4 linked regions of the Coturnix japonica genome follow. The protein of the gene in region 4 purifies or fractionates together with the protein of the main gene of each other region. This does not show direct contact. Links are inferred from orthologs where the notes say so. Each region holds a gene or a part of one and is shown on either strand. Other genes may lie near its edges. The genes, in order: KIF5C, CLSTN1, KIF5B and KLC1.

Region 1 (4,160 bases), on a different chromosome or scaffold from region 4:
GTATTGGCTTTTCAACCACAATCCAATAACGTTTTTAGTATTCTCCTAAAGCTAAGAAAGCAAATTGTTAGTGATTTCGCTTGAATGGTTATCCAGTGCAATTCATCATAGCACAATCAAAACCATTGCACTTGAGGACTGTATGCTTCAAAGTCCATTCATCCTGTCATCATTGACTCATATTCTCTCTCAATTATAATACTGCTATTTAAAAAATATTGTTCATGCATCTTATTTGTATTTTGATTAGAAAACTCATGTTCCATACCGAGACAGCAAAATGACCCGGATACTTCAGGATTCCCTTGGTGGAAACTGCAGAACCACCATTGTTATATGCTGTTCTCCTTCTATTTTCAATGAAGCAGAAACAAAGTCGACCCTGATGTTTGGACAGCGGTGAGTCTTACTTGGCATTAAGATAGATAACTCTCATTGGAGCTCTTCCATGTGTTCTGAGCCGGCTGTGGAGGTCATGATTTCTGAAGTGGTTAAAAAACCAGAACTGAATAACTTGAGCCTCTTTATTCTGCATGGTACCAGTAAAAGAAATGTTGGTGTTGGCCAACAGCTGCTCTGCTTTGGAAAGGATGAAGATTTCTTGTAGTTTTTTGAAGTTTTGTGGAGAAGTTAATGGTGTTGGGCAGTTTTCTGCTGGCTGTCTCACTGGAAAACGTTGGGTATTGCTCTGTTTGGTACTGCTGTTGTCACTTATAAGATGTATCTTCTCCTTGAATGGCATCTCAGTGATCATTGTGATTTTTTTGAACTGTTAATTTAGAAAACTGAAGAATGTGGATGCAGGGTAAATGCTGACAGTTTTGATGGGTTACTACGATGGCTTTACACGCTTAGAACATCAGTAATTATTTAGGAGCAAGCAAGGGTTAAAGAAACGTGGAAATGGTTGGAAGGAAGATTTCTCTTGTGTGTATATCATTGGCTGTAGTCATATGAAATTCAGTTGGAAAGGTTGCCAGAACAGGTCAGGCTCATTACATAGTTATTTTTATTGTAACTAAAGAGAACTCTGATATGTTGGAGTGTCATTTGCTTTATGTAGTGTGTATTTATTTATGTAATAGCAAAATGAAAACAATTCGAGCAACTTACGATTGCTTGAGAGATTATTTGTTGAGGAGTTTGTGCAATAATAGAATATATCTGGTCGGGAAATAGGTTGTGTCTTCCACTTGGCATAAGTTTGGCATTAAAATTAACACTGTTATGGAGCATTTTATATTGGAAATTAAAATCTTGTATAAAAGACAAATCTGGCAATCTTATATTAGTTCATCTCCCTGCTGTTAGTCTTTAAGGTGAGCTCTTCCTTACATTTTGTTGAAGGAAGATGAACTCTGCAGTTCATTCACATAAGAGCACATAAAATACAGGATGGGCCCTGAAGATGCAGTTGGTGTAGCCTCTCTTAAAGGACAGCTGTGGGGACTGAGGGGGATGCTGTAGGTTAAGGCTGGCAGACACTTTCTGCAGTGCTTTCCCCATCTGGCTCTTCCAGAAACAAATCATGTGCTAGAGGAGGAAGGTTTTCTCTTTCTAATCCATAGAAGTGCTCCTTGCTGAGGACTAGGATGTCATCTGAAAGAAGTGGAGAGAGGGCTGCATTCTTTGCGGGGCAGCTTGATTAGTGAGTCATGTGTTGGTCATTTTGTGGTTTGCTGCTTAGAAGCTCTAGAGTTGTGCTGAAGCAGAAGGTCCTGGGGAGCATTTAATTGGGAGGGAGGACACGCAAAGAGGAGGACTGCTGAGGTGGCAGACCTGCATAGGAGCACACCTACTGTATGTGCACAGTGTTGTTTGTCAGCACTTTGAACAGCACTATTGCTGTCTGTGGGGAATGGTTTCATTTCCAGGCCCTTTGGCTGCGGTATTCCATTTTTCTGATGTGGCAGGATTAAGGGCTGAGTAATGTTAAAGGAAAGGTGAGTGGCTCATGGTTGATTACCAGATCCTCCATTTTGCCAAGCAATAGAGAAATAGCACCATTAAAGTAAGTGCCAGGAGTAAAATCCATCTTCATAGACCCAGCTGCAAATTCATGGGCTCCTCTGTCAGCAATGAGTCAGTTTCTTCTTTTTTCTTCTTTTTTTTGGTGTTTTTATGTTGTTTTTAATTGTAGTTGTATGTGCTTCATCTATCAGCAGTGCAGTGCAGTCAGTGTATTTTATAGTGTGGCATTTTTTCCCCAGTGCGCTTCAGTGAGTAGAAATGTGAGCCATGCTTTTAGCAGAATATGAGACAATATGTTAAAGCCAAGCATTAGGTGTCTGCATCGTTCAGAAGAACAAGGTTATTTTAAATTCTTCTAAGGTAATTAAACTTCTGCATGTCACATAGTGCAAGTCACACTTTTTGGTGACCCTGCTTGTGACGGGGGGCTGAAACTAGGTGATCATTATGGTCCTTTTCAACCCAGGCCATTCTATTGTTCTGTGATTCTATGATAAGTCACCAGGGCACAGTTTGGGATATGATAAGCAGGGATGGGAGCATTTCCCTGCTGACAAAAGAAAGCTTCAGGATTTAAAGTGATTGGCCATATTTTTTTCACTCAGAGGGTGGTGACGCACTGTTCACAGGTTGCCCAAGGAGGCTGTGGATGCCCCATCCCTGCAGGCATTCAAGGCCAGGCTGGATGTGGCTCTGGGCAGCCTGGGCTGCTGGTTGGTGACCCTGCACACAGCAGGGGGTTGGAGCTGGATGAGCACTGTGGTGTTGTTCAGCCTGGGCCAGTCTAGGATTCTATGATATTTAGAAGGTGATTCAGAATCAAGAAGTGAAGCCATGGAGAAAACGATAAAAGATCACGTCTGGGACTCAGTAGTTTCACAATAGTGAAATGGTGAACCCAGAACTGCTTCTCTTAGAATAAATCTGCAGAGAAAGATCCGTGCCTGAGTGGAGGCAGAAAAATTCTATTGAGGCTTCGATGGAAAGACTGTGAGAGTGGTGAGGTGCTGGCACAGCTGCCCAGAGAGGCTGTGGATGCCCCGTCCATCCCTGGAGGTGTTCAAGGCCAGGTTGGATGGGGCCCTGGGCAGCCTGGGCTGGTATTCAGTGGGGAGGTTGGTGGCCCTGCCTGTGGTGGGGGGTTGGAGCTTCGTGATCCTTGAAGCCCCTTCCAACCCAACCATTCTGTGATTCTAGGTAATAACACTGCTGAGGTTTTGAGAGAAAATGGAACTGTGACACTGCATTGCAGGAAATGAACTGCAAATGTTTCATAGTTTCCCTTGACGTAATATAAAAATTTCCAAATCCCAGCCTTGCATTGAGATAGAAGTTACAGAGCAGCTGACACCTGTTTTTGTTATGCAGAGCAAAGACCATTAAGAACACAGTCTGTGTCAATGTTGAGCTCACTGCAGAACAGTGGAAGAAAAAGTATGAGAAAGAAAAAGAGAAAAACAAGAGTCTAAAGAATGTTATCCAGCATCTGGAGCTGGAACTGAACAGGTGGAGAAATGGTATGTATGGGAAAATAGGAATGGGGGCATTTCTGCAGATTTAAGTTATGTGTGTTAAACTCCAAAGTGCGCAGCCTGCTTAGCACCTTTGGCCACACCGCTGCCTGTTGCTGGCCACAGACTTGCCAGCATTAAGTGAGAACAAATATGTGATTTAATGATTAGCCACAAATGGCTTTGCACTTGTCAAGTCTGCTTTTGAATAACATGGATAAAATCTCTACTGTCTGTACTTAAAAGATAATCCCTGCCCCTTATGGCTGCAAAGCAGTGCTACTTTCTTTCACCTGCTGTGCTGTTTCCTTGCCTTTCACATCAGGTAGTTACCTAATGGCTGCTTTCTGCTTCTTCCTCTGGGGGGTTGGGCCACTTCAGGGATAAGGGATGTCTCCCTTATCCACATGGTAAAATTGCTATGGAGACAGTGAGTCTGTTGTGCGTGTTGAAGAGCACTGGGAATTGTTGGCACTTATATGTTCTGCATTTCATTCAGTGTTTGCTGAATGTGATAATAATTTCAATGATTTCCTTCCCATCCTGGGAAGGATCTTTAAGAAGAACCTGTGTACATACATCCTATATGCTGTTTAAACACAAAATGCTGCCTCTGTTGTTTTGTCTAAATATACAGAGCGCCTCTTCCCCTACATCTTTTCTCATTGGTGTTACCAA
Region 2 (4,160 bases), on a different chromosome or scaffold from region 4:
TTTCGAAGGATGAAGTGGATAATCTTCAGTCACTGGGAAAGGATCGTATGAAACACCATCTACATAAAGTGTTACTGCAGGAAATTCAACATTGAGGACGTAATGGTGCCATTCCTTGTCACAAACCTAAATAAAAGAAGTAGGAAAAATTGTTTTAATATTAAAAAAAAAAAAAAAAAGGATTACAGTATATTCTGCGAGCTGAATATACACACACATCTATAACTTCTTTGTATGCACAGCTGCAACATTAAGTTTCAGTTCGTAGTGGCTCTAGCATAAGAGCAGGTAGCTGACACCTCAAAACATTTACAGATTTACAAATAGTACCTGAAAATTTCATTCAAGAGCCTTTAAGTTTTCCCTACTGGATCTATATCTAAATAAAAAATATTTTAATATATTTATATTTATATTTATATTTATATTTATTTGTGAGGGCTTCTCCAAAAGCAGTGCCTCCTACCTTATTTTGTTGGTCCACAACATCAGAGGCAGATATTAGTGGTATGATAGTTGAGCCTTCCTGCCAATATTTTTTTTCCATTTTGTTGCTGTGTGACAGACAGCAGCAGAGGGGCAGTCTGTAAAGAAACCTGCTTTAGTAAGAAAGTGGACTAGTTGACTTCTGGAAGTCTCTCCTAACCCCTGTGATTCTGTGATATATATATATATATATATNTGGATCTGATGCACATTTTGCAAACATCCACATGTAGACATTCACCATTAAAACAATATACACTGCTCTGTACAGAACATAGCAGGATATTTCAAACCATCTCAGAACGTAACTCATGTCAGTTCTGGTGAGACCCAGAGGGCTGGAAAAGCACATCAAATATTTAGTCCCTTTTGTCTGATTCTTCACTATTGTAATCATCATTAATTCACAGAAATAAACTCTGCAGACTGTAGTAATGCCAAAGGAAAGACTTGGCATTATAGCACCTGCTTTCAAATGTAAAAAAACTAAGATTAGACAAACAGAAAGAACACAGACAGCTCTTATCCCAAACAGGGGAAAGTACCTGCATCCCTAAGAGGAGTATTGCTCTATTTCTGTGCAGTAAATACCAAATTATGCAAATCGGCTCATCTCTATTTACAATATATGTACCTACTTCTGGCAATGTGTAAAAGGTCACAGATTTTATTCCAGTGTGAGGAAGTATTAAGACGTTCTTCTTTTATCCCATTAAACACTTTGATCAGCAACAGCGCTGCATGCTCAGAAGTAATTTTGTTATAAACAAACTGGAATGCATATGCCTCCTGTTTTCATATTCATTGTGTTACAGTGTATTTAGTGAAGATAACCAACACAACAGCTGAAGTTTGGCATTTTACTTTCATACATAAATCCACACTTCGCTGCCTTTCAGGACAATGACTCGGACTTTATTTCATGAGCATCCCATTGGATTTAATTAAAACACTAAAGCAAGTAGCAAGTTAAAATCAAGTTGAACAGGCATCTATCCCTGACACTCATCACAAAGTAAATACCACTGGGTTCTACAGAAGTCAGTATCAGGAGTCTGGAGTTGTAAATAGTACTTCTTAATAATTACCTCATTAGAGAGTTCAGGCTCCAGTGTATTTCACTGTATTCTATCATTTTACCAGTCATTCCAAACTTACTTGGTTTAGCTTCCAGTGGAATTCTGCAGGCTTGTATGTCTTTCCCTCTGAAGGATCTTGCCGGAAGAGGAAAACAAGGCGGCAGTTGTGCACATACAGTGTGTAGTGGTGTCGATTCATATCTGCACAAGAGTTTCAAGTATTGTCATTCTCTAAGTATTAGGCACTCAAAAAAAAAAAAATAAAATTCACCATTTCTGAATATTCCTATTTAAATGGACAGTAATTGATAAAAAAAACGCACAAGCAAACCAGATATGTTAAGAGAGACAGTATCTCCATCTAGAAAAAAATATATACTGCAGTCAATGCTGTCACTAAGCCTGATACGTGTATCTTAAGGATTTTTGGCAGTACTGAGAATAAGGCTATTTGTGGAGATATAAAAATTAGATTTCTTTGCCAGAATAACACACCTACTATGATGAAATGAAATGCGTAACATAAATAAAGTCAGATAAACAAGCCTAACTCATTTCAGCTGAAGCTAGGTAATTTAAGTGCACACCTCTACAGGTAAATACAGTAAAGAACAGCTTTGCAGTTCACTTCCTTTCACTTCCAAGAAAAACCTAGAAAAATCTATAGAAAACACTTAAAGTTCCCACAGATGCTATCACAGCATATAAAACCAAAACAAATTAGATTGTTCATACTTCGTGTATCGACAAACCTGTCTTGTCTGAATTGCAAAGAATTGTCTCTTTCTCTTTGGTTCCAGGGCCATGTCTCATCCACACTGAAATCATGAAGGGTTCTTTCATATTGACTGTGACAACACCATCTGGAATCTTCACAGCCTGTGTGCCATTAAACTCAAAGACTTGGTCACTGTCATGACCATTATCAGTAGGAAGTCCTATCGTCCAGTTCGCAGCACTACTTGGAGAAGGAAGCAATTCAGCTGTGCCAGAAGCTGCACCTACAATAAAAATGCTCACATGAAAACAAGGTAGTAACTAGAAAGATCACAGCAAGCTTCATATCTAACAGCTTTTAATGAGCATTAGTTTTACTGCCAGTATTATGTGTTATCATCACATATCAGGCAAATCTCCTATTGAATAATGTGGCATTAACATTAAACATATCTAATATTACCAGCTGAAGAGATCTGCATGAGAACACCACAGTGAACCCAAGCATCCCCTCTCACATCATCGACTAATAAAACTGCACATCTTCTAACATAATATTCAGCCCATAATAAGCACTTTATCAGAACAAAAGCATCCTTACCACAGAGTCTGTGAATGGATTTCTCAGAATAGGTGTCTCTATCGCAGCCTTTCCCAATATGATTGGTTTCTAGCTCAACTGTTGCCTGAATTGAGGTTATTGGCTCATCACATGTGTCCAAACGCATACTTGGGAAGAGTGCTAAAGAACCAGTACCAGGTTCATATTCTATTCTTTTGCTCCAACCTGTATAATTATTCAAAGAAAAAACATTAAAAAAAATCCCTCCTGTTTAACTGAAGGCACTGCCAAAGCAGATAGGAAGGAGCTCAAACTAACCTTGCCAGCCAGGCTTGCATGTAGGCTTAATACTAATTTTAACCAATACATCTTCAGCAGCTCTCTTCTTCCCACAGTCATATGCAGTTACTGTCAGTTTATACTGGTGCTCTTTGCCATAGCTTAACTTTTCTGTGTTTTTTATATAACCTGGAAAAAAAAAAGGTGATATTAAGAAATGAATATTTCAGGGTCACTGCTGTGTTAAATCCATACAGGTACCCACCCTATGTACTTTATACTGGTAACAAGACTTTAGCAGCAACACACAATAGACTTTCACTACCTGTGCTTTCAGTGCTAGACATAAGGTCCAGATATTTAAAAATCATATATATACAGAAGATAAGTATAAATATACAGAACAACAAGTATATACTTATCAGGCTCATCACAGTATACTATACTGCATTATATAATATACATATATATAGTATTTAACAGTATTATATTACTCCAAATTAAACTATTCACAAGTGGTAACTGGTAAATAAACTTTATCAGATATCTGTTTCATCTGCAGACCTTCAGAAATGTGAATACCTCAAAAATTCAACCTAAAGTCAGATAAAAACTGTCTTGTTTTGCTTGGCCAGGTCCCCTGGACTCCTGGAAATAGTCCACAGATCACAGACTGAATGGAAATGACCTAAACAAAACAAAACACTACACTACACTTCAACCCCAATACACTGTAAACTTCAGAGCCACATGTAAACATCTCACATGGAAAAAACACACTAACAGAATCCTATTTTTGAAAGCATCACAGGAAAGAGTTAAAGCAGGGTTGCTGCAGTTTTATGCTGATCAATTTGAAGCCCTATGCCTAAGGCAGTGAATGACAGTAATTCCAACTCTGTCTTGCATCACATTCTTACCGTCTTTGTCAATAGCGAAAGGAACATCCGGAGTTACGATTTCATAGCTGCAGATCTGGCTGAACTGAGGTGAACAATCTGCATCCACCGCTTCCACTTTCAGGATGTTATCATACC
Region 3 (4,160 bases), on a different chromosome or scaffold from region 4:
TGTGTCCCATAGCTTCCTGGTGATGGTGATGGAGGCTTTTTGAAGTTACAGATGTCAGTGAGAAAGAGAACTTAAAATTAGTGTTCTCTGTGGTGACTTTTTACATAACAACTTCTCAGCTTTCATTTTCTTACCTTGGGGATACTTGGATTTGCTTGTTTGTCTTCTGGTGTACACAGAGATCCGAGTTCCACCTGTAGAGCATACAAGTTTGAGGTGTATTTAAAGCTAGAATGAGTAAATGAGAAAGCCTGTAATTTCCCTACTGTGAAACAAATGTTCAGACTTCAGCACCTTAGGGATAGTTTCTGCCTACTGAGTCTTGTGGTTTCTTGAGCATATTTACACAGTGAACTGTGTAATTATTTTCTTTTTTCCAAGAGGGAGCTCATCTATCTGAATTTCAAGCCCTTTAAGCAGAGTGATATGAGTTGGCTCCGAAAAGCTTTGTTTGGTGTTACGCTAGATGTTATTAAAAGGCAAATGGAAGGTCAGGCTGGGAAAGGGAATGTGGTGAGTGGGTGGGTAAAAGATGGAAGCTAGACTTGTTCTGCTGCCAGGAAGGCCGTCCCACAGGATCCTTGGGGGAGGGGAAGGATGATAATGAATTAAACATAGGCCAAATGGATCATTGAACGGTTACAGTAAGTTCAGTGGTAGGAATTGACTTAAGGCCCTTGGAAACCTCAGCTGTCTGCAAAGATATTAATAAACTCTGAAAGTTCTAGGAAATTTTCAGCTTAGTAAGATGAACTTAATAACTCATCTTTATGGACTGTCAGCTTGTTACAGCTGTTACCAAATCCCCAGTTCTTTTCATAAAGCTGTGTCAGAGCTTCCTCTTTCAGTGTTTTCCTAAAGAAATCTTTGGAAGGTTCCCTTCCTGCAAAGTGGCCTTTTCCTTCTGTTTACAGAGCCTCATTGTAAGGATATCATGCATGGGGAAATGTTCCTTGTGCTGACTGTAGGTGACCTGGATGTTTCCTTTGGTTTGAGATTGTTAACAAATACTATGAAGGCATATTGTGTGTGATGTGATACGAGTTGTTTTTAATAATTTGGGTTTACCAAAGCAGTGGAGAAGAATGAAGTTTTCTCAGAGGTATAGACACTAAGCACTGGTTTACAGTGTAAGTAGAGTAGAGGTCGTGTAGCAGTGTAGTTATGGCAAATAGTTTGGGTTGCACTTAAAAGCCAAACATACTGAATTCAAGGCCTTATTTGTAAGCAAACATGTGAAGATTTAGACACATACATAAGCCGATTTCCTCACTGCGTCCTTCAAGTACTTAAAATAAAACACGAGATCGGACCGAGACCATGTAGGCTGCTTCTAAGCTGTGTGAACAAACACCTTTCAGTTGTGCTTCCCAGGTAGTCTTTTTTTAACAGCCTTTCTTTCTATTTTGCAGTCCAAGCCATATATATTTGACCGTGTATTCCAGTCAAACACATCCCAGGAGCAAGTATACAATGACTGTGCTAAAAAGATTGTCAAAGGTAAGGTGGGATGAACTCTTTGTTTTTGGGAAACACCTTATTTGTGTGGGTTTTTATGTTGAAATCTGGTACCTTCTGTTGCTCCCGTTTACCTTCTGAATGTTTAATAACAGTCATCGTGGTTCAGAGTATAAAATCATCCTCTAGTTGAGGTGATATGATGTCAATACTGAGCCCACTTCTCCAGTTGTTTGCAGCATTTGATGATAATTACCTGTTAGTTTGATTTTTATTTTTTATTTTCAGATCTTGCTAGAGGTTAAAACAATTGGCCTTAAATTAATAAAGGATAGGCTTCTGTCTGTTTGAAAACAACTCGTATGAGTAGTTTTTTTTAATTGGTGTCAGAAAACAGTTATTTTTGTTTGGAGGAATGTAAGGTGAAACTTGGGAAACTTCATGTTTGTTTTGTTTTAACTTTGCAATTATGAGTTACCTGATTTCAGTGCTTATCAGAGTGTACTCTCTCTAAACTTGAACTGTCTAATGGCTTTGTGGCTTCTGGGGCTCAAGTCTTCTAATAGAGAAGGTTATACTACAATGAAGTACCTTATTAAGGAGTTAGGTAACTCCCTCAAAATAAAATTGATTCATTTCTTAAGTAGATCAGTACAAGTTCCAATTGACACAGCTTTAAAACAACTGTATCAAAGCCTTCTTAGGAGTGCGTAAACTATCAGCTGTTAGAGGCAAGACCAGATGAGTGAAGTGTTGAAGGCCCTTACCCTTCAACCTGAAACTCAGAGTTGAGTTGTTCATGGTTTAAAACATAAGCTTATGGCCAAGTGATAAGATGCTGGAAACTTTTAGCTTAGCTCATTCTCTTAATAATCAGATACTCCAGCTTTACTGTGAAGGCAGCAAATAATGTACTGCATAATACAATTTGTTTAAATGGTCAAAGGCTGTCTGTACAATGTGGCAGTTGTATTCATTTACTTCTTATTACCAACTCTCAAGTTGTGTTTTGCTGGCTGAAGGAGCTGCTTCTAATACAGCTTCTGGAAATGCAATCTGTAGTGACTGCATTAAAAGTGCTAAGGGAGAACACTGCTGCCTTCCTCTCCCAGCACCAAGTATTGTAGCGCTTACTTTTCAGTCACTGAATGGCTCAACTTGCTGAACATTTTAGGAATTGCTCACATTCTATTTTATTTGACTTTTGTTTAGGAGAAGGGAATCAGTCCTAATGAAAATATTTTTTTCCTCTAGATGTACTTGAGGGATACAATGGTACAATATTTGCTTACGGGCAGACATCATCTGGAAAGACGCACACTATGGAAGTAAGGCAACTTAAAATTATTTTCTTCTAATATTGTTTTCATCTCTTTTCACCACTGTGGTGTTATATTCCTAGAGATGAGATATTGGCTTGTTTTTATGAAATCATAGAATGGTTGAGGTTGGAAACTATCTTTTAAGATCAGTAGTTCCAACTACTCTGCAGTGGGGATGGAAGTCTTTCATTCGATTAAGTTGCCTAAAGTCCCCATCCACCCTAAATTTGAACAGTTCCAGAAATGAAGCATCTGCATCTTTCATTTTCTTTCCTATTACAAACTTTGGATACCTAAAATATTTTTCATATGTAAGAATGGCAGTTACTGTATTTATTCAGCTATCAAAAGCAGGATTGTTCATGGTAGATTTCTCATCTTTGTGTGTGACGTTTTTGAGGCTGTTCTTTTTGTTTCTAGCAACTTCTGGCCCTAAGTGGATGGCTAAGAGCTTCCTTTGCAGATAAACATAAGTGCATTTTACCCACCAACACTTCAGAGCTATCTTGTTTCACTTTTTATTCTGCCTTCAAATACTTTGTGTATTAATGTTTTTTCATTCCCTTTTCTAAAAGGGGAAGCTTCACGACCCAGATGGAATGGGAATTATTCCAAGAATAGTACAAGATATCTTTAATTATATTTACTCTATGGATGAGAATCTTGAGTTTCATATTAAGGTAATGGTTTCTTTATTTCCTATATTTAATCTATATTAAAATTGGAAGTAGTTTGTTGCGGAATGGATGTTTCATATCTGTTACGAATGCTTGTGAATTGGAAAATATAAAGACAAGTTATTTCAGAAACTGGCTCTACTCAAAGAATAATTGCATTAACACTTTAATCTTGTTTCCATTAAACATTGATGGTAGATAACTTGTGTCAATGCTGTGTATTTTAGTTTGTCCTCGTGGTTGTCAACTAGATATGGCAGTACATGAGAGGTTGTGGTTATTGTACTGAGTCCTTCTGAAGTACATTTTTGTGTTCTAATGCCATTTGTTTCACACTTCTAGGTGTCGTATTTTGAAATATACTTGGATAAAATAAGGGACCTTTTGGATGGTAAGTTTCTTATTTGCTTTGGGCATAGGAAGTAAACTGCTTGGTAGAGAGATTTAAAGAACAAAAGCTTTAGGATGATACTGAGACATATGTGTTATGTTAATAAGTAGCCCATCTCTGATATAGATGCAGCAAAATGAGACCACACGTAGCTAATGTATATAATGCAACTGTAGCTGCAGTAGCGGTTGTTTGATGTATGTTCCATTTTTACTTGGATCTGCTGTAAATGTCTCATTCTCTGAAGGAATCATATGTACCTCAGCTTTAGAACTTTTTCTCTTCCAGTTTCAAAGACCAATCTTTCTGTTC
Region 4 (4,871 bases):
TATTCTTTCAAAGGAACCACATTTATTTCTACAACCTGCTATTAGACAGAAAACGTTCCACTAAAGAAACGACCGGGAGAGCCTCACTACCTCAAGCTGAGCATGACTCAGGATATAACTGCCTCTATTTTGAGGCCAAAATACTTCTTTTAAAATAAGCCGTTTGCCTTCCACTAGTACTTGGCTACCAGGAAGTATATACATCATACACTGCATGCCCAATGATTTTGTCTTAAGGAAAACAACAGTTAACATCTAAAAGAAATATGTGTTTTTTCCCTAAACTTTGGTCAAGGTAAATACTGTGTTTTCATAGATGAAAAAATACTTTGAAAGTATAAAATATTATGCAGATTATGCTACAATAAACGCTTCTATGTAGCCACTTCTATTGCAATGATGATGGAATTGGTCAGATCCCAGCTTTATGGCAGATGTGTCATGCTGAACTGTACCCTGAGGCACACGGACAGCAAAAGGTTCCTTTAAATAAACTCTCACCTTCATCTTTGTTTGCTACCACACGGTTCAACATTAAATGCAAAAATACATATTGAATCGTCATGAATGTACCCATACTCATTTTTTCACTCCCTTTATGAAAACAGAATCACAGAATAACAGTACTTTAAAAGTTATTTGTACACTTCATTGAGTCTTAAAATAATTATGAGCTAAGCATCTGGAAAGAAGCTGCTAATACCAGCATAAATCTACTTACACGTCTTCCAGAGATACCGAGCAGAGTAAGAAATGAAAGAGTATCTGCACAGCCCACATGTCTCAAGAGAAACAGAAGCTGCATTATGTGGACTCAGCACAGAGCATGAGGGTTCAGCATTTCCCCAGGCTCCTAATTAAGGGACATAGGTAGGTATGTCTTTATGCACACGTAGATACGCTGATCTCTCCCTGTGTTTAAATGTACACAGCCTATGGGTAGCACACAAGTGAGGGCTTTCTGACTTCGTTATGGTACGTTCTTCATCAACAGAGCAAGCAGCAATTGCTTTTATACCCCTTACGCCTCCCTCGAACAGCATTTTGATTATTGTATGTCAAAACATTTAGTAGACTGCCACAAATTTCATTCACTATTCTGTGCACTATTCTTTTGTTGAGCAAAGGCTTTTTAAGATTAGTTTCCATTCATAAGGCATCGTTGGTACATCCCAATAATGCAGTGAGCAGCAAACAAAGCAACTTTATAATATACATTCAGGGGACAACTTTATTTTCTTTTAAAATTACTTACAATAGCGTGTTTTCTTTGATTCGAAAATGAACGGAGCCCAGACTTACACTGCTGTCAGAATGTGAGATTAATGGAGGTGCCCACTTCCATCACCACCCATCAGGAACAGAAATGCTGCCAAACTTCACTGCAACACGATGCAGAAGTGATACCGCATTGTTGTGTGACTTCGGGAACTCACCATTTCAGTTCCCTGCACTTTGCCACCTGGTTCGGCATTAAGTTCTTACCTAATTGGAACTGGAGTTTTCTACATCCATGGATATGTCACAAAAATATTGTCTTAAACCACAAAGAAAATTAAATCACAGCAACACCTTTCAAAACATGAGGCCTGCTCCGAACCAGCACAGAGATCAGTTTCCTCTCTGCTTCCACTAAACGCTGAATGTGTTTCTTTCAATTGTCTCTATAATCCCGGGGTTATAATATCCTCTATCACGTTTCGCTGAAGCTTTGGAATTCAGAATCAATTAAAATCATGTCATTTCCCAGAGCGGTTTGAAATCAATCCCAAATTCAAGAAGGTTTGGATTTGATCTGATATTTGATTTCATTTGATTTTTGTATATTGAAATGCTGTGTAAATCTCGAAGGTTCCTTTCCAGCTTTCCAATGCACACCCTTTGGGCATGTTTCCTATTTCAGAGAAGTACAAACACAAAAGGGGAAGTGAAACAGACAATTACTTCCCAGACTAATTGTTACCAAACCTTCTGCCATTTGCAACACGAAAAGAACATTTTAAGTATCATCGTCCCAGGCGTTTTTATGTAAGACTCTAAAAAATAACTTCTATTACCAATGACATCGTTCTGCTGTTTAAAGTGGAGCATAAGAACAAACTTTCACTTTTTTTCCTCCCCCCCCCCCCCCCCAGCTCCTTTTGCTTTCTGATTCTGTACTCGAATGCTGCTGTTACAATGAGGACGGAGGATATAACAAAGGAAATCTTTAATGGGGGATAAAAAAAACAAAGCGCAGAAGCACCTGATGGATGGAGCAGGCTCCCAGCAGTGTGTGTCCATCTGGGTGCTGCTGCCCTGGCCATCACAACGGGCTTCTCTCAGCTCAGCTCAGCTCAGCACACAGGGAGGAGGCGCGGTGCTTACGCACAAGCGCTGTGCGGCTGTACCAACCTGACATCTCTCTACCCAAAACAGCAGCAAGCCAGAAGGATAAAGCACCTTCCTAATTCACCTCTGCCCAAAGGACAGTACCAGTGAGGTCGGTCAGGCACCGGCGTTATTTCTCCCCTCACCATTTACCTCACTGTAGACAAGGATGCCGAAGGGGGCATATCACGGTGACCTGCACCGCTCGGTCACGATCAGCGCCGTCCCCGCCTTCCTCCCTTCATTCTTCCTCCCTCCGTTCCACCATTTCACGCCTTGCCCTCAGCCCGGCCCGCTCTCCCCCTGGGCGGTGCCGGCCGCAGCCCCGCGGGGGGGACAAAGCGCGACCGGCGGAGCTGTCAGCGGGGAGCAGCCTTTTGTTGTCTGAGAACCGGGATGGAGGAGGAAGGCGAAGATGGAACCGAAAAGCCCCGACCCTCCCCGCCCCGCCGTGCCCCGCTCACCGCTCGGTGCTGCAGGCTCGGATGTGCGCAGCGCTCGCTGAGCCGGCGGGGGCCGCGCAGCCCGGGGAGGCCGGAGGAGGATGTCAGCGACGGGCGGAAGGAAGGAAAAGGATTTCGATGAAAGGAAGACAGCGGGCACCGCCGTGTCTTCGGCTTTACCTGTAAGGAGCCGACGGGCCCGACCCGGCCCCCGAGGAGCGGGCGCTGACAGCTGCACGCAGCCGCCGCCCCGGCCGCTACCGCCGCGCCCCGCCCGGCCCCGCCCGGCGCTCCGCCCGGCCCGCCCCGCCCAACATGGCGGCCGCCCTCCCCTCTCCCAGCAGCCCACGCGCGCCCTCCTTTCCCGCCGCTTCCCCTCCCTGTATGATGTCATGGCTGCCGGCCTGCGGCGGGAGAGCAGGAAATGTGTCTTTGTAGCTTCACGTTTCATTTCATAAAGTACAATGGTGGCCGTTTTCTCTGTGCTCCACTGGGTACATGTTCAGGGGGCTGGAGCACCTCCCCTATGAGGACAGGCTGAGGGAGTTGGGTTTGTTCAGCCTGGAGAAGAGAAGGTTGCGGGGTGACCTCATTGCAGCCTTTCAGTACCTGAAGGGAACTTACTCCCAGGAGGGGAGTGAACTCTTGGAAAGGGCTGATAATAGCAGGACTAGGGGAAATGGTTTTAAGTTAAAAGAGGGAAGATTTAGGTTGGATGTTAGGGGGAAGTTCTTTACTAGAAGAGTGGTTAGGCCCTGGAACAGGCTGCCCAGGGAGGTTGTGGATGCCCCGTCCTTGGAGGTGTTCAAGGCCAGGTTGGACGGGGCCCTGGGCAACCTGATCTATGGGGGATCTATGGGGATCTATGGGGTCTCTGTGGGGATCTATGGGGTCTCCTGAGCAACCTGATCTAGTAAAGGTGTATGTTTGGTGGCCCTGCCAGGCAGGGGGATTGGAACTACATGATCCTTGAGGTCCCTTCCAATCCGGGTCATTCTGTGATTCTGTGTGATTCTGTGATGATGGTGGAAGAAACGGGAGTTCTAGGATGAAAAATACAGTTAAATATGACAGTGCACTGCTATGCGTGTAGGGAGTCATCGGGGAATGATGACAGCCTAACTATAAAGTGTTATTAATGTCTAGACAATACTATGGTGCATTATCATCTGAACGCCGCGCAGCTCCTGCAGTACATATTACATATAGATATGAATCATAAGCTTATAGAAATATGGAGATGTAGCGGTGAATCAGAGTGTGCGGCCTCACCTACGTGGTGAATTCTGAGAGACACAAGGAAAGCTGTGCTGACATCTGTTTGTCCTCAAAGAAAACATCAATGGGCTCTACAGAATGGCAGGACTCTAAAGCGGAGATGGAAGAAGGAGTCACAACTGGTGCTGTAGTTAGAGAAGCCCAGCAAAACAAATGGGGCTGCAGAATGCACAAGCAGAGAGTCCCTGTGGGGTTGGAAAAGGGCACTGTAGTATTGACAGGGAAGTCTGGGCAGTGGCCTGGCCAACTGAGTGTAATGGTGGGAAGTAGGTGTCTGAAAGTAATAAGAAAGGGCAAAAAATGAATAACCATTCCTTTATACACGTTTTTAAAATGAAGAGTTATGTCAGCTGGTCCACAAGTTCAGAGAATTTTCATGAATATGCAAGAGATTTAATTAAAAATAGAACTTGCCCTAATTACATGATTATGCAAGAGAACAGATTCAAAGGAACCCCTCCTATCTTTTGAATAAACAATATTCATTGCTTTCTTCCTATCACACATTTGCTTTCAAAGATTTCCTGCAATTAGCTGCTCACCCCAGGGAAATGAGTATCTCTTGAACAAAGCACCTACTCCAGCTTTGACCCTGATTCATAATACGCTGCCTAATGATGTATATGCATGCTTGCAGTTTCCCACACAAGCAGCACACACTACAAGCTGTGTCGTGTAGCAAGGCTGCTTATTGCAATGGAACTAATGTGCAGTATTGCTTACCTCTGGTTATGGCACACAGTGGAGGAGAAGCAGACACAAGAGATTTGCTTCTTCCTC

What was found.
Region 1: the proteins of KLC1 (region 4) and KIF5C purify together in Homo sapiens (co-immunoprecipitation; 4 studies listed by BioGRID and IntAct, counting the BioPlex papers as one, with this or other methods). This does not show direct contact. The link is inferred for Coturnix japonica from reciprocal best matches to the Homo sapiens genes KLC1 and KIF5C.
Region 2: the proteins of KLC1 (region 4) and CLSTN1 purify together in Homo sapiens (co-immunoprecipitation; 3 studies listed by BioGRID and IntAct, with this or other methods). This does not show direct contact. The link is inferred for Coturnix japonica from reciprocal best matches to the Homo sapiens genes KLC1 and CLSTN1.
Region 3: the proteins of KLC1 (region 4) and KIF5B purify together in Homo sapiens (co-immunoprecipitation; 11 studies listed by BioGRID and IntAct, counting the BioPlex papers as one, with this or other methods). This does not show direct contact. The link is inferred for Coturnix japonica from reciprocal best matches to the Homo sapiens genes KLC1 and KIF5B.

What each region holds. Positions count from the first base shown.
Region 1 is NC_029522.1:31,112,096-31,116,255, reverse strand, and holds part of KIF5C (kinesin heavy chain), read left to right. Parts: intron 1-250; coding exon 251-399; intron 400-3,339; coding exon 3,340-3,488; intron 3,489-4,160. UniProt on the Homo sapiens protein: Microtubule-associated force-producing protein that may play a role in organelle transport. Has ATPase activity. Involved in synaptic transmission. Mediates dendritic trafficking of mRNAs.
Region 2 is NC_029536.1:2,977,228-2,981,387, forward strand, and holds part of CLSTN1 (calsyntenin-1), read right to left. Parts: coding exon 4,044-4,160; intron 3,313-4,043; coding exon 3,163-3,312; intron 3,070-3,162; coding exon 2,884-3,069; intron 2,567-2,883; coding exon 2,318-2,566; intron 1,767-2,317; coding exon 1,645-1,766; intron 127-1,644; coding exon 1-126. UniProt on the Homo sapiens protein: Postsynaptic adhesion molecule that binds to presynaptic neurexins to mediate both excitatory and inhibitory synapse formation.
Region 3 is NC_029517.1:12,865,134-12,869,293, forward strand, and holds part of KIF5B (kinesin-1 heavy chain), read left to right. Parts: intron 1-1,412; coding exon 1,413-1,500; intron 1,501-2,712; coding exon 2,713-2,786; intron 2,787-3,355; coding exon 3,356-3,460; intron 3,461-3,799; coding exon 3,800-3,848; intron 3,849-4,136; coding exon 4,137-4,160. UniProt on the Homo sapiens protein: Microtubule-dependent motor required for normal distribution of mitochondria and lysosomes. Can induce formation of neurite-like membrane protrusions in non-neuronal cells in a ZFYVE27-dependent manner.
Region 4 is NC_029520.1:45,862,516-45,867,386, reverse strand, and holds the start of KLC1 (kinesin light chain 1), read right to left. Parts: upstream 3,084-4,871; 5' UTR 2,835-3,083; intron 1-2,834. UniProt on the Homo sapiens protein: Kinesin is a microtubule-associated force-producing protein that may play a role in organelle transport. The light chain may function in coupling of cargo to the heavy chain or in the modulation of its ATPase activity.